3 linked regions of the Kluyveromyces lactis genome follow. The protein of the gene in region 1 binds, or shares a complex with, the protein of each later gene. Links are inferred from orthologs where the notes say so. Each region holds a gene or a part of one and is shown in the gene's direction. Other genes may lie near its edges. The genes, in order: POM152, GLE1 and NSP1.

Region 1 (3,759 bases):
CAACACAGAATATCTGACCTCTATTGAGCTAGCGCCTCAAACTCTTACAGATTCTAACGTATCGTGTTTTAGCAAACTCTCTTCTCGTAAATGACTTATTTGTAAGAGTGCAAATCAAATAAATCAAAACCTTAAATTTCTAAACTTCTTTTATAGAAGGAGATTCAAATGCACCTCTGTAATGTTATATACGACGAACGTGAGAGCTGTATATGGTGTTGAAAACAAATAAGTTCCAGTGCTCCAGTTGTGATTCAAAAAAGGAGACGATCCTGGACAATGGAAGTATCTCGATTCCAACCAAAACATTCTTTTTCTCTCTGGTAAATATATATATTATATATGTTAGGACCCTTAGCTATCATTACTATTACTGAATCTGGCATTCAAATTTGCCGAGGTTTTTATCAGATGAGGTCATGATAAAACTTACCTAATTCAGGATTCATTAGCCAGATGGGGTAAAGACATTTGCTTACTAGCATTTATGTCCTCCTTGCTTCTGACTAGGGTTTTATGAGAGGATGACGGGAATTTGACGGGAATTTGACGTAAGCAATGGAGCTATGCAACGGAATCGACATTATAATATCGATGCAAACGATCTCACTGGTAATTCTGGATAGGCGAAGAATTCAAGAGGCTATAATTCGAATATTAAGACCACAACGTAGTGGCAGATCATATAGAGTTGCTGCGTCCTTGACCATTGTACCTTGATCAGAAGCGAAACCTGAATCGTACATAATGATATATCCGATTCAGATCTTGTCAACAAACAGAAGTTCAAACTTTAAGCTTATGTTTGGTCTTCTCATGTATGCAGATGCAGGCTAGGATCAACAAGCAATCGCGATCCAGGCACCCGTTACATACCAATCGTCAATTAAAAAGCGAGCGACTAAGTGATAAGTTGTATGCGTGATCCCATTTTTTTCTATTAAACTTCTGCGTATTGGCACTTTAGAATCATATTCTGTTGAAAAGGGAAGCTGAGATAAGTTCAGACGCATATACAGTTAGATAATGGATTCCAGTTTCGGAACAAATGGGTTCTATACACATACTCCATCGATGTGGAGTGATAGTAGGCGTAGGAACGTTGGAAATAGAGATAAAGACTCGTTCAGAGGAGGAATAAGCGATCGAAGAAATGAAGAGATCAACAAACCAAAAGAAGATCCATTTTGTATATCCGGTTTTTCCAATTACACAGGAAAATCGAAGTCAAGCACTAGTAGAGCAAAGAATGGCCCAGCGAGTGAATCGATTAAGGAGCTACCTTTGATTTCTACTGAAGTTCTCGATGCAGCCAGTCAGAGAAGATTAGCCTTCGTCGTTTTTTTTATCATTCAATGCTACAAACTATACGATCTAATCCTACTTAAGAGTGGGATACCATTATCTGGGATTTTTCTATCGAATTCAAGGTTAAACTTCATTTCAAAATATTTGGTAATAGACTCTTTGTTCTTTTACTGTCTCCCCACGTTCAAAATACCCAAATTAAAGTTCAAACCACTGATAGTGCTTTTGCAGATTATTTCATCCGCAACCCTCACACTGTTTATCTCCAGTGAACAAAGTATCCCATTGGTATCGCTTCTATTGTCATTATGGAGACAGTATCACAGCAGAGACTTGTCCTTAACAGGTGACTCTGTCAACCCAAGAAAGGCTATGAATTCGGCAGAACACTTCAAAGGTGCACATACCATTAAAATTTTGCCAGAAAATACAGCATATTTGAATCCCTTCCACTCGTCTTTTTGTCTACCACTGGACCAATCTGGTCCTGCCATTGAACTACCTATAAGAGTCAACTCATCATCCACAATCAATACAGTCCAGTTAGAGTTCAGAGATCTATACTCAAATGAAGGTGAACTGTGGAACTTCACCAAGAACGATTTAAAACCACTCAAGGCAGATATTTCAAAGGAAGAAACTGATCGTAACATACATTACTTTACTGTACCTCTTAACAAAATCGGGTTTTACCAGTTGAAAACCGTTCTAGACACTAATAATATCAATTTGAGAATATACAAATCCCAATTAGTGCTACCTCACTGCCCATTGGCTTCCATTAACGGAAAGGGAGAAAATGATAGATGTGTTGGAGATAATGATGAGGTTTCAATTCAGGTACAAGGTGCTCCACCTCTTAAATTGACTTATACTAAGACAATCAATGGCCAAAGATACGTACTAGAAGATTCATCACTTCAACCAGAATATTTTGAATCACCTTTGCTAACGAATTCAAAATTCTACAGTCAAAAAGATGTCCAAGATTTAAAATGGGCTCGTTCGTACCCTGTAGATATCGCATTAGAAACTTCAACCAAAGAATACGGTGAACATGTTTACTCTATCGAAAGAATTGTGGATGGATTTGGTAATAGCATTGATTTTTCCTCATTATCATCACAAGTAAGAGAAAAGTATGATTTGATCCACAGATTCTACGTGCACGACTTACCAAGAGTATCTTTGGATGAAAAAATGAATCCCGACAGTTCTGTTAGAAGGTCTTTAATAGTCAAATTGGACTCTGGCGATTTTAACAAGGATGCTCCATTCATCGTTCAGTTATCCCATGAAGATAACAACTCCAAAGTGAGATACTTCGAAAAACAATTCAATGATAAAACATTAGAATTCAAAGTTGATGAGCCAGGTTCTTATAATTTGCTCTCAGTAAAATCGAGGTATTGCCACGGTGCCGTGATTGGAAAATCTAATGTTCTGATAACTAAACCAATTCCTCCTCAATTATCTGTAAGATCAACCCCAATATTAGATCAATGTGTTGGACAGGTCGGCTTGAATTTTGATCTTACTTTTACCGGTGTTCCTCCCTTTTACTACAAAACAAAAATATACAAAACTGAGCAAGGAGAACGTAAACTATATGATACAAAAAAATTCAGCTCCCAAGGAACCAGAAACCAGTTTACTTATTCACCCACATCAGAAGGCAGTTATGAAATTGTTTTCACCGAATTGTCAAATGAACTTTTCACATCTCCTATCTCCTTAGATTCGAAAGAGTACACATTCAAAACCAGCATGAGAGTGAAACCTAGTGCAAAGATTTCAGGGAAGCTAGAGACAAAATTATGTCTTGGAGGGAAAACGAAGGTACCTATTAAATTCAGTGGTGAGCCTCCTTTCACGTTAAACTATGATTTAGTAGAGACTTCTTCTAATAAGAGAACTTCGTTTAATAAAGAGAATATTCAAAGTTTTTCCTATGAGATCGAAACACCTAATTTCAACATTGGTGGTGATCATATCCTATCTTTAGTTTCTGTGAAGGATTCCAGTGGATGTTTGGTAGGTCTAAGTGGTACTGATGCCAGAATTACCGTTAGAAGAGATATTCCTTCTGCTTCTTTTGCTGTGTCAGAATCTTCCTCCCAAGTCAGCATTAAAGAAGCTTCATTCGCAGAACTTCCATTAAAACTTTCAGGTGAAGGACCTTTCAGAATCACCTATAGCCATTTGGATAACAAGGGAGACGTTCTCGAAACTGAAGAGGTGACTTTCAGTTCCAACTATAAACCGGCCTTAAAGGTTATGAAGGAAGGTTTGTATAAATTGGCTTCAATTCGTGACCAGAGTTGTGTTGGCAAGATCGTAGATCCGAACCATACTTTCCAAGTAAGTTATCTCAAAAAACCTACGTACTCATTAATTGAGCACAACAGAATCTCAAAACTGGACGATTTCAACTACATTAAAAATGATGTC
Region 2 (3,543 bases), on another chromosome or scaffold:
GGACGAAAGACAGGATAAAAACTACTTGGGAGCATTAATTGATCTTTTCCGAACCGTTGAAAGGAAAACCGAATCCACTGACCAAAGTTCTAGCCTGTACGTCAGTTTGGGCAGTTGTGTTGATGTTGATGTGCATACCAAAAGTTACTGGCCAAAGATCTTGATTAGCATCAATCTCTGGGAAAAATCTGACTTCATCGCTGGTCATACCAAATGATAACCCACCAAATCTGTTACCTGACTTGTTGGAGATACCTTTGTATTCTCTGATTCTTGGTAGTACAATTTCAGTCAAAGTGGATAAGAACTGAGACATTGGACGACCTTTCAATGTAATGACAGCACCCATTTGGGTACCTCTTCTGACCTTCCAGGCCGGAACATCATTCCTAGAGAACAAAGCCTTTGGTTTACACCCGGTAATTTGTTGCAATTGTAATGCTGCTGAAATTGGTAGATATTGGTTCTCTTTTGCATCTCTGACGTAACAGTTAATAACAACGGACTCGATGTCTGGAATGTTCTTCCACGTTACTGGATGAATATCTGGCAATTGAGCACTTGAGCCCTTAGGTTTTCTGGGTTCTCTGTTAATGTGATATGGAGAAGAACCGTCCCATTCTCTTTGCTTCAACCCGAGCTTCGTTTGGCTTTTGTGGGAATAATTTATCAATAATAAATCGCTTTGTAAAGTATTATAATAATGCTCACGAACACGGTCTTGATGTGTAACAACAGGCTTGAATGCTGGAGATCTAATATCGTTTTTACTATATTTCAATTCAGGAAACCTTGGGGATAGCTTGCTCTTGTCGATCTTAACCAAATGATGCACTGGCTTAACCAAAGCACAAGCAGCTTTGGAGACCTTTGAACTACTGTGGAAACCACGTACCACTTGCATTATCACTTGGTATCTTCTCACAGATGCGAACGAATGAATGTATAAACCTACGAATGGGAAGGAATACTGCTTTAAATCGAGTGAAACTGATCAAATCTCTATCATTATCTTACAGCTTTAGCTCGAAAGGTCGAAAAATTTTTAAAACTTTCAAGTACAGAGAATTCAATATACGTCACGTGACAAGAATCAACAAAAAGTGAAATTTGATTAAAAACCAGGTAGAGCTCAGTTGATGATTATAGAGAGTGTTGACCTTTCAGCCCTTGTGTTGATGCATTGCAGCCGTTTTTTTTTGATCCCGTACTTAAAGACACGTAGCTGGATTCTCCATTTAGGTAATAACAGTCGAACTTAACCCCGAATCGTTTACTTGAATTGAGCTTTTTACCGATTTGATAAAGTAAAGAAAGCGATTGACACATATCAGGACAATTGAGATGAGGTTCTCATTTGACGAATTGTACGAGAATGCTGAACGGAAACAGAGTCAGAATACCAGCAGCAGTGATTCTGACTATGAATTAGACGGGGAGTTTACGTATATTGGCGATCCATCTGATGGGATCCAGTTAAAACTACCGAAATTATACCATTCTTCAAAGAATGACGGCCAAGGTGAAGAGCAAGGGTTTAGTTCAGGAGATACAATTTCTTTAGAGGATGTGGTAGAACCAGAAATAGTTTCAATGCTTTCCAACTTAAATATCACTCTTGAAAGGAATGCACTACCGCATCTTACAACGAGAGGTCACGAGAATAAAGCTTTAGGCCCTGTTCTTATTGACGAAGCAGAACTTTATTACCAAGAGAAGAAGGATTTGATTGACGAGGTGGAACAACACACCTTTCCTATGCAAGACCAGGTGCTTGAATCTGTGTGGAATGAGGAAATTGATTCAATTGAAAAGGTGAATCAACGTTTAATTAAAAGCATAAAGGATAAAAAGAAGAGGGAAGAGGAAGCACGTATCCAGAAAGAATGCGAAGCGGAGAAGCGCAGACAAGAAGAATTGAAGCATAAAAAGGAGATGGAAAAGAAGTTGAAGGAGGAAGAGAAACGGAAGATTCAAGAAATGGCAGAAAAGGAGAAGAAAGCTGAAGAAGCGAAGAGAGTAGAAGCCCTGAAAAAGAAGCAAGAACAAGAACAACTGGAGAGGAATAAACTTAAACAGTCCAAAGAATCTACAAATTTCAAGTTAATCGAAGAAACTTTTACTAAATACAAAACCATGATTCAGACAATTAAAACAGAAATAATTGAACCGGTGAAGGCGGATCCCACCTTGAAGAAAACTTTAGCACAACATAAGAGGAAAATTAATCCAAAATTCGGACAATTAACCAACAGTACTGCACAATTGAATGCAATCACCAATGAACTTACCGAACTGGTACTTCAAACGAAGGCTAACCAATTAGCCTATAAATGGATTCTAAACTTTATAGCTAAGGCGATTGTTTCCCAAGCAGAATCTGAGGCCAGAGTGAAACCTGAAAGCGCTTTGCCTTTAGGAACACTTGCGCTAAGTCTTCTTGCATCATACCCGGAACTCAAAGAGTTCTTACTGGCGAGACTCATCAAGAAATGTCCGTTTGTTATCGGTTACACGTGCAGCATAGACACAGTCGAAGGAAGAACCAGAATGGGATGGAAACGTCAAAGTGACAACAGATGGGAAGAAGATATTTCATATGATGAAAGGATGGGTGGTATGATTACCTTGTTTGCTGTCATCACAAGATTACCTCTACCGCAAACGTACATTCAGAAACTTGTGCATCCTTTCCCAATCTCTTGGTCATGGAGAATGCTAGCTAGAATCGGCAACACTCCAAAGGATCTACTTACAAATACACACTTCGTCGTTCTTGCCTACTGGTGGGAGGCTGCGGCAGCACAATTGCTCCAAGCATACAACGTTCAGGCAACAAAACTACTTGAAGTTATTTCGATTGATTTAACTGCACTTGTTGCTGACAAAAAATTCGTTGGTGCAGCAAGACTCCGCATTATTAACGAGGAATGGCATAATACAAATCAAATATCATCATTCCCAGATATGGCAGCATAACGGCTAGAGTTTTCTCTAGTAAAATATATATATATATATATATGTATGTATACCTTCAGATCTTCGTTTTCATCATGTGTTCAGGGCATAGTATATGCCTTATGTTCTCATAAAACTTTAATAATGAGGATTCAAATATTTCCAGAGAGAGAGCGTACCTCATTGCCTAGAAATACTCCGCAACTGTTGAACAAACCATGAACCCATTTTCACGTGCCCATTTACCCTTTTCTTTCTTATTCTTACTTGCAACAGTCTTTATACTCAAAGAGTTCGAACCTTTAAAAACGTAGTTTGAATCTTGTGAATACTTCCATGTGGTTATCATACAAACGAATAACGATCGGATCATCAAAAACTCGCAGTAAGACCTAGAGCAATGACAAGGCATTGTGACGTTTCGATACCGGATTCACCTGAACCTCCTTTTCCAATTACCACATCGTTCGTCGATGTAATAGCTGGTTTCGGTCGTGGATCAGCAGAGTTAGGAATTCCTACAGCGAACGTGCCCATCGATGATTTACCAAAAATCGTGGAGCAACTAGACACAGGAGTTTATTT
Region 3 (3,707 bases), on another chromosome or scaffold:
AGAAGTACAGCAAGAAGAACAAATGGACCGCGCGTTTGACGAAGTTTTAGACACTCTAGCACATTCAAGAAAGACCACGCTTGCGAAATCAAATAATTCGCCAGGCTCAACATAGCAGCACCCAATGCACATAGCCCCCAAAGAGAATACAAATTACATTCCGTCTAAGAAACGTGGAGAATTGTAGACATGAAAACCACAAACTAATTCGAGGGGATACGTCTGCCCCTACTTTCACCTCTCTTTCTTTTTTTTTCAAAAGGAACTTTAACCTAATGCATTGAGATATACGAGATGATCAAAAACACAAATATGATGCCTTACTCTTGGATCAAATTACCCAGAAAGTTGGTAATGTGATTTATAGTTCCTAGGAAAACTCTATTCCATTGTTAACCGTTATTGATATTGGAGGAGAGAATCGAAAGACATAAAAGCCATCAAGCTCGGTTTACTCCGATTGAATTCTGTACATTATATAAATCTTACTATACATTCATTATAATATTAGGAAATAAACTTTAAAACAGAGCTTACTCTGGCTAGTCAAGCTTTATATGTCCATCCGTATATGCATCATATCAAGGTTACCCTCACTCAAATTTTTTGGACCTTGTTTCTTTCTAAAATCGAAAAGATCATAAAACTCGATATGATTAAACAATAAACTGAAAATTGTATACATAATGGCAAACGAATTGGTTTGAATAGGCATAGCTAGTCTATGAAGTGGACAATTACAAGGGTTCGTTAATCAACAAAATGAGTTTCAATTCAAACCCCACTTTCAACTTTTCTACAGCGGGAAATGCTTCCGGTGGGAACAGCAATTCCAATTTGTTTGCCGGTACTGGATCAGGACAAAATGTATCTACCACAGGAAACACCAGTACCAGCACAGGTGCTTCCTCTCTCTTTGGCAATACTGGAGGCCAGACCAGTGGCAATGCTTTTGCAAGTTTCGGTTCAGCTGCTGGTAGCTCTAATACGCAGCAGGGAAATGCATTTTCAGCGTTTGGAGCGACCACTACCAATGACAATGGACAAACAAAACCTGCATTCGGAGGCTTTGGTATGAATACACAACAGGGCGCTAATGCAGTCAAGCCAGCAGCTTCGCCATTTTCGTTTGGTGCCTCTAATACAACTGCTGGTACAGGCGATGCACCAAAACCTGCTTTTGGAGGTTTTAACGCAAACGATGCTGCCAGCAATGCGAACAATAACAACAGCAACACCACGAATACAAGCGCAGCAAAACCAACATTTGGTGGCTTTGGCTCCGTAGGAGCAGCAGGAAGTAGCTCTTCGCTATTTGGCGGGTCGCAACAGGCTAAAGACACTCAACCCAAGAGTGGATTCTCATTTGGTACACAACCTGAACAAAAGACCGATGCAAAGCCCGCTTTTAATTTCGGACTATCTGGAAATAATGCAATGACTACAACTCCGAGTGTCAATGCCTCTAAACCAATATTTGGTGCCAATACAACTTCAACATCAAGCTTCACAACTTCCGCTAAACCAACTGAAACCTCGAAACCTAATACAAATGCCACATCACTCTTTGGTGGGAACCACACTGATACAAAACCAGCCGGTGCTACTTCAGGGTTCAACTTTGGTTCTGCCGCTGGAGATGCCAACAAGCCAAGTTTTTCGCTAAGTCTGGGATCAAAACCTGAAGAAAAAACCTCAGGCGCAAAGACAGGATTCTCATTTGGTTCAAAAACGGAGGACAAGCCTACAGATGCTAAACCAGCATTTTCTTTCGGAGCAAAGCCCTCTGGGACAGAACAAGCCGGTAAGCCAGCCTTCAGCTTTGGATCAAAACCAGTGGCTCCTGAACCCTCTAAACCTTCCAATGACAAACCAGAAAGTAAACAGGGTTTTGCATTCAATGTTAAATCTGGCAACAGTAAAGAGGAGACCAAAAGTGGATTTTCTCTGGGATCTAAAACAGAAGAATCTAAACCTGCCTCTAAAATGGGATTTTCTCTGGGATCCTTGAACACGAATGCTGACGATACCGAATCCAAGCCTGGGTTTTCTTTTGGCAATAAGACTGAAGATACCAAGTCAGCTTCCAAAGCGGCCTTTTCGTTCGATAACAAGACTGACGGGTCAAAGTCAGAATCAAAACCATCTTTTGCTTTAGGGTCCAACACCTCAGAAAATAAAGCCGATCCTAGCCCCGCATTCTCGTTAGGAGCGAAACCTACCGATAGCAAATCATCTGATACTAAGGACGATTCGAAGCCTGCATTTAGCTTTGGAAGTAAACCTGCCGATAGCAGAACATCTGACACTAAGGTTGATTCAAAGCCTGCTTTTAGCTTTGGAAGTAAACCTGCGGAAACTACCGCTTCCAAAGACACGAAAACTGAAGCTCCTTCCTTTTCTTTGGGCGGTCTGAAACCGGATACTACCAAAGAAACAACTGAAAGTGCTAAGCAGGAAACTACAACTGGAACAAAGACATCTACTAAACCCGTTACTATCGAACCTGTTTCCCTCGACAATAAGACTTTGGATGACTTAGTATCAAAATGGACCTCCCAACTTTCTGGAACCGCAGATCACTTTGAGAGTTACGCCAAGAAGATAAATCAGTGGGACAAAGTATTAATGCAAGGTGGTGAACAAATAAGTCGGTTGTACTCTGATACATTAACTGCTGAACAATCTCAAAATAGAGTAGATCAGTCTCTCTCATATATCGAAAGACAACAATCTGAACTTGAGTATTTCCTCGATTCTTATGAACAAAAGGCTGAAGATCTGCTATCTGAGGTGCTTTCTTCGAGCAACAATAACAACACAAGCAAAACGAATGATCAAAAGAGACAACAAGCCTATCATACAGTGGAAATGCTTGACGACAACCTAAACTCTTTGTCACTAAATCTTTCCTCGTTGATTACCGAAATAAACGAAGTTAGCGAAACGTTCAATAAGGCTACAAACTCAAGCTTCCCTAATAAGGAAGAAAACGCTCAGTTGATCCAGTTATTAAATTCTCACCTAGATGCTCTTAAGTCGCTAGAGAACAACTCTCAGCAACTTGAAGGAAAACTCAAGACGTTGACGAAGTCTCAGAAATGATTTTTTTTTTTGACCTTGAGGTTAATACTATGATAATCTATATATTGAAACCTATGTACTTTGCTGGTTCAATCTAATAATCATGTAACCATATTGCCCTGATCGTTATTGCGCTCCAGAATAATTTGTCAGTGTACAAACCAAAATGATGAGTTGAACAAATTCTTCAAGTCCTTCTGGTTTGGTTTCAACTCCATTCTTTTCAAGTAATGCATCTCTCTTTAATGCGCCTTGTACCAATTGCTTGAAATGAGATATCAATTTTCTTGCCTCACGGAAAACGTATTGGCTTGATGTTCCTGAGCTGAGTAACACTGACGCAATCAACTGGAAGATGGGTATAATGATTTCAAAGAGCGAAATACCATTTTCGTATGATGTAATCTGGAGAGGGTTATCTAAAGTTAGATTCGCACGGATTTTTCCGGAGGTTGCAGCACCAACAGATTCAAACATCAATTCTAGTCCAAGATCTGGATCCATTTTCAAGAAGTTACACGACGTAATAGTTTCAAACAATTTCTTTTGAACTAAAGCATGAGAACCAGCCTTTGTTTGAGCCAATTTTGTCAGGAAGTGTACCACACATTTGAAAATTGTGA

Evidence for each region.
Region 2: POM152 (region 1) and GLE1 share a complex: the UniProt entries of both Schizosaccharomyces pombe proteins name them as parts of the nuclear pore complex. The link is inferred for Kluyveromyces lactis from reciprocal best matches to the Schizosaccharomyces pombe genes pom152 and gle1.
Region 3: POM152 (region 1) and NSP1 share a complex: the UniProt entries of both Schizosaccharomyces pombe proteins name them as parts of the nuclear pore complex. The link is inferred for Kluyveromyces lactis from reciprocal best matches to the Schizosaccharomyces pombe genes pom152 and nsp1.

Annotation. Positions count from the first base shown.
Region 1 is NC_006042.1:1,588,390-1,592,148, reverse strand, and holds the start of POM152 (Pom152p), read left to right. Parts: upstream 1-1,026; coding exon 1,027-3,759. UniProt on the Schizosaccharomyces pombe protein: Functions as a component of the nuclear pore complex (NPC).
Region 2 is NC_006039.1:1,325,287-1,328,829, reverse strand, and holds GLE1 (nucleoporin GLE1), read left to right. Parts: upstream 1-1,344; coding exon 1,345-2,979; downstream 2,980-3,543. Other genes in the region: MRPL7 (mitochondrial 54S ribosomal protein uL5m), read right to left, coding at 35-904; FMN1 (riboflavin kinase), read left to right, coding at 3,359-3,543. UniProt on the Schizosaccharomyces pombe protein: Functions as a component of the nuclear pore complex (NPC).
Region 3 is NC_006041.1:1,040,670-1,044,376, reverse strand, and holds NSP1 (FG-nucleoporin NSP1), read left to right. Parts: upstream 1-762; coding exon 763-3,105; downstream 3,106-3,707. Other genes in the region: NUP192 (Nup192p), read right to left, coding at 3,211-3,707. UniProt on the Schizosaccharomyces pombe protein: Functions as a component of the nuclear pore complex (NPC).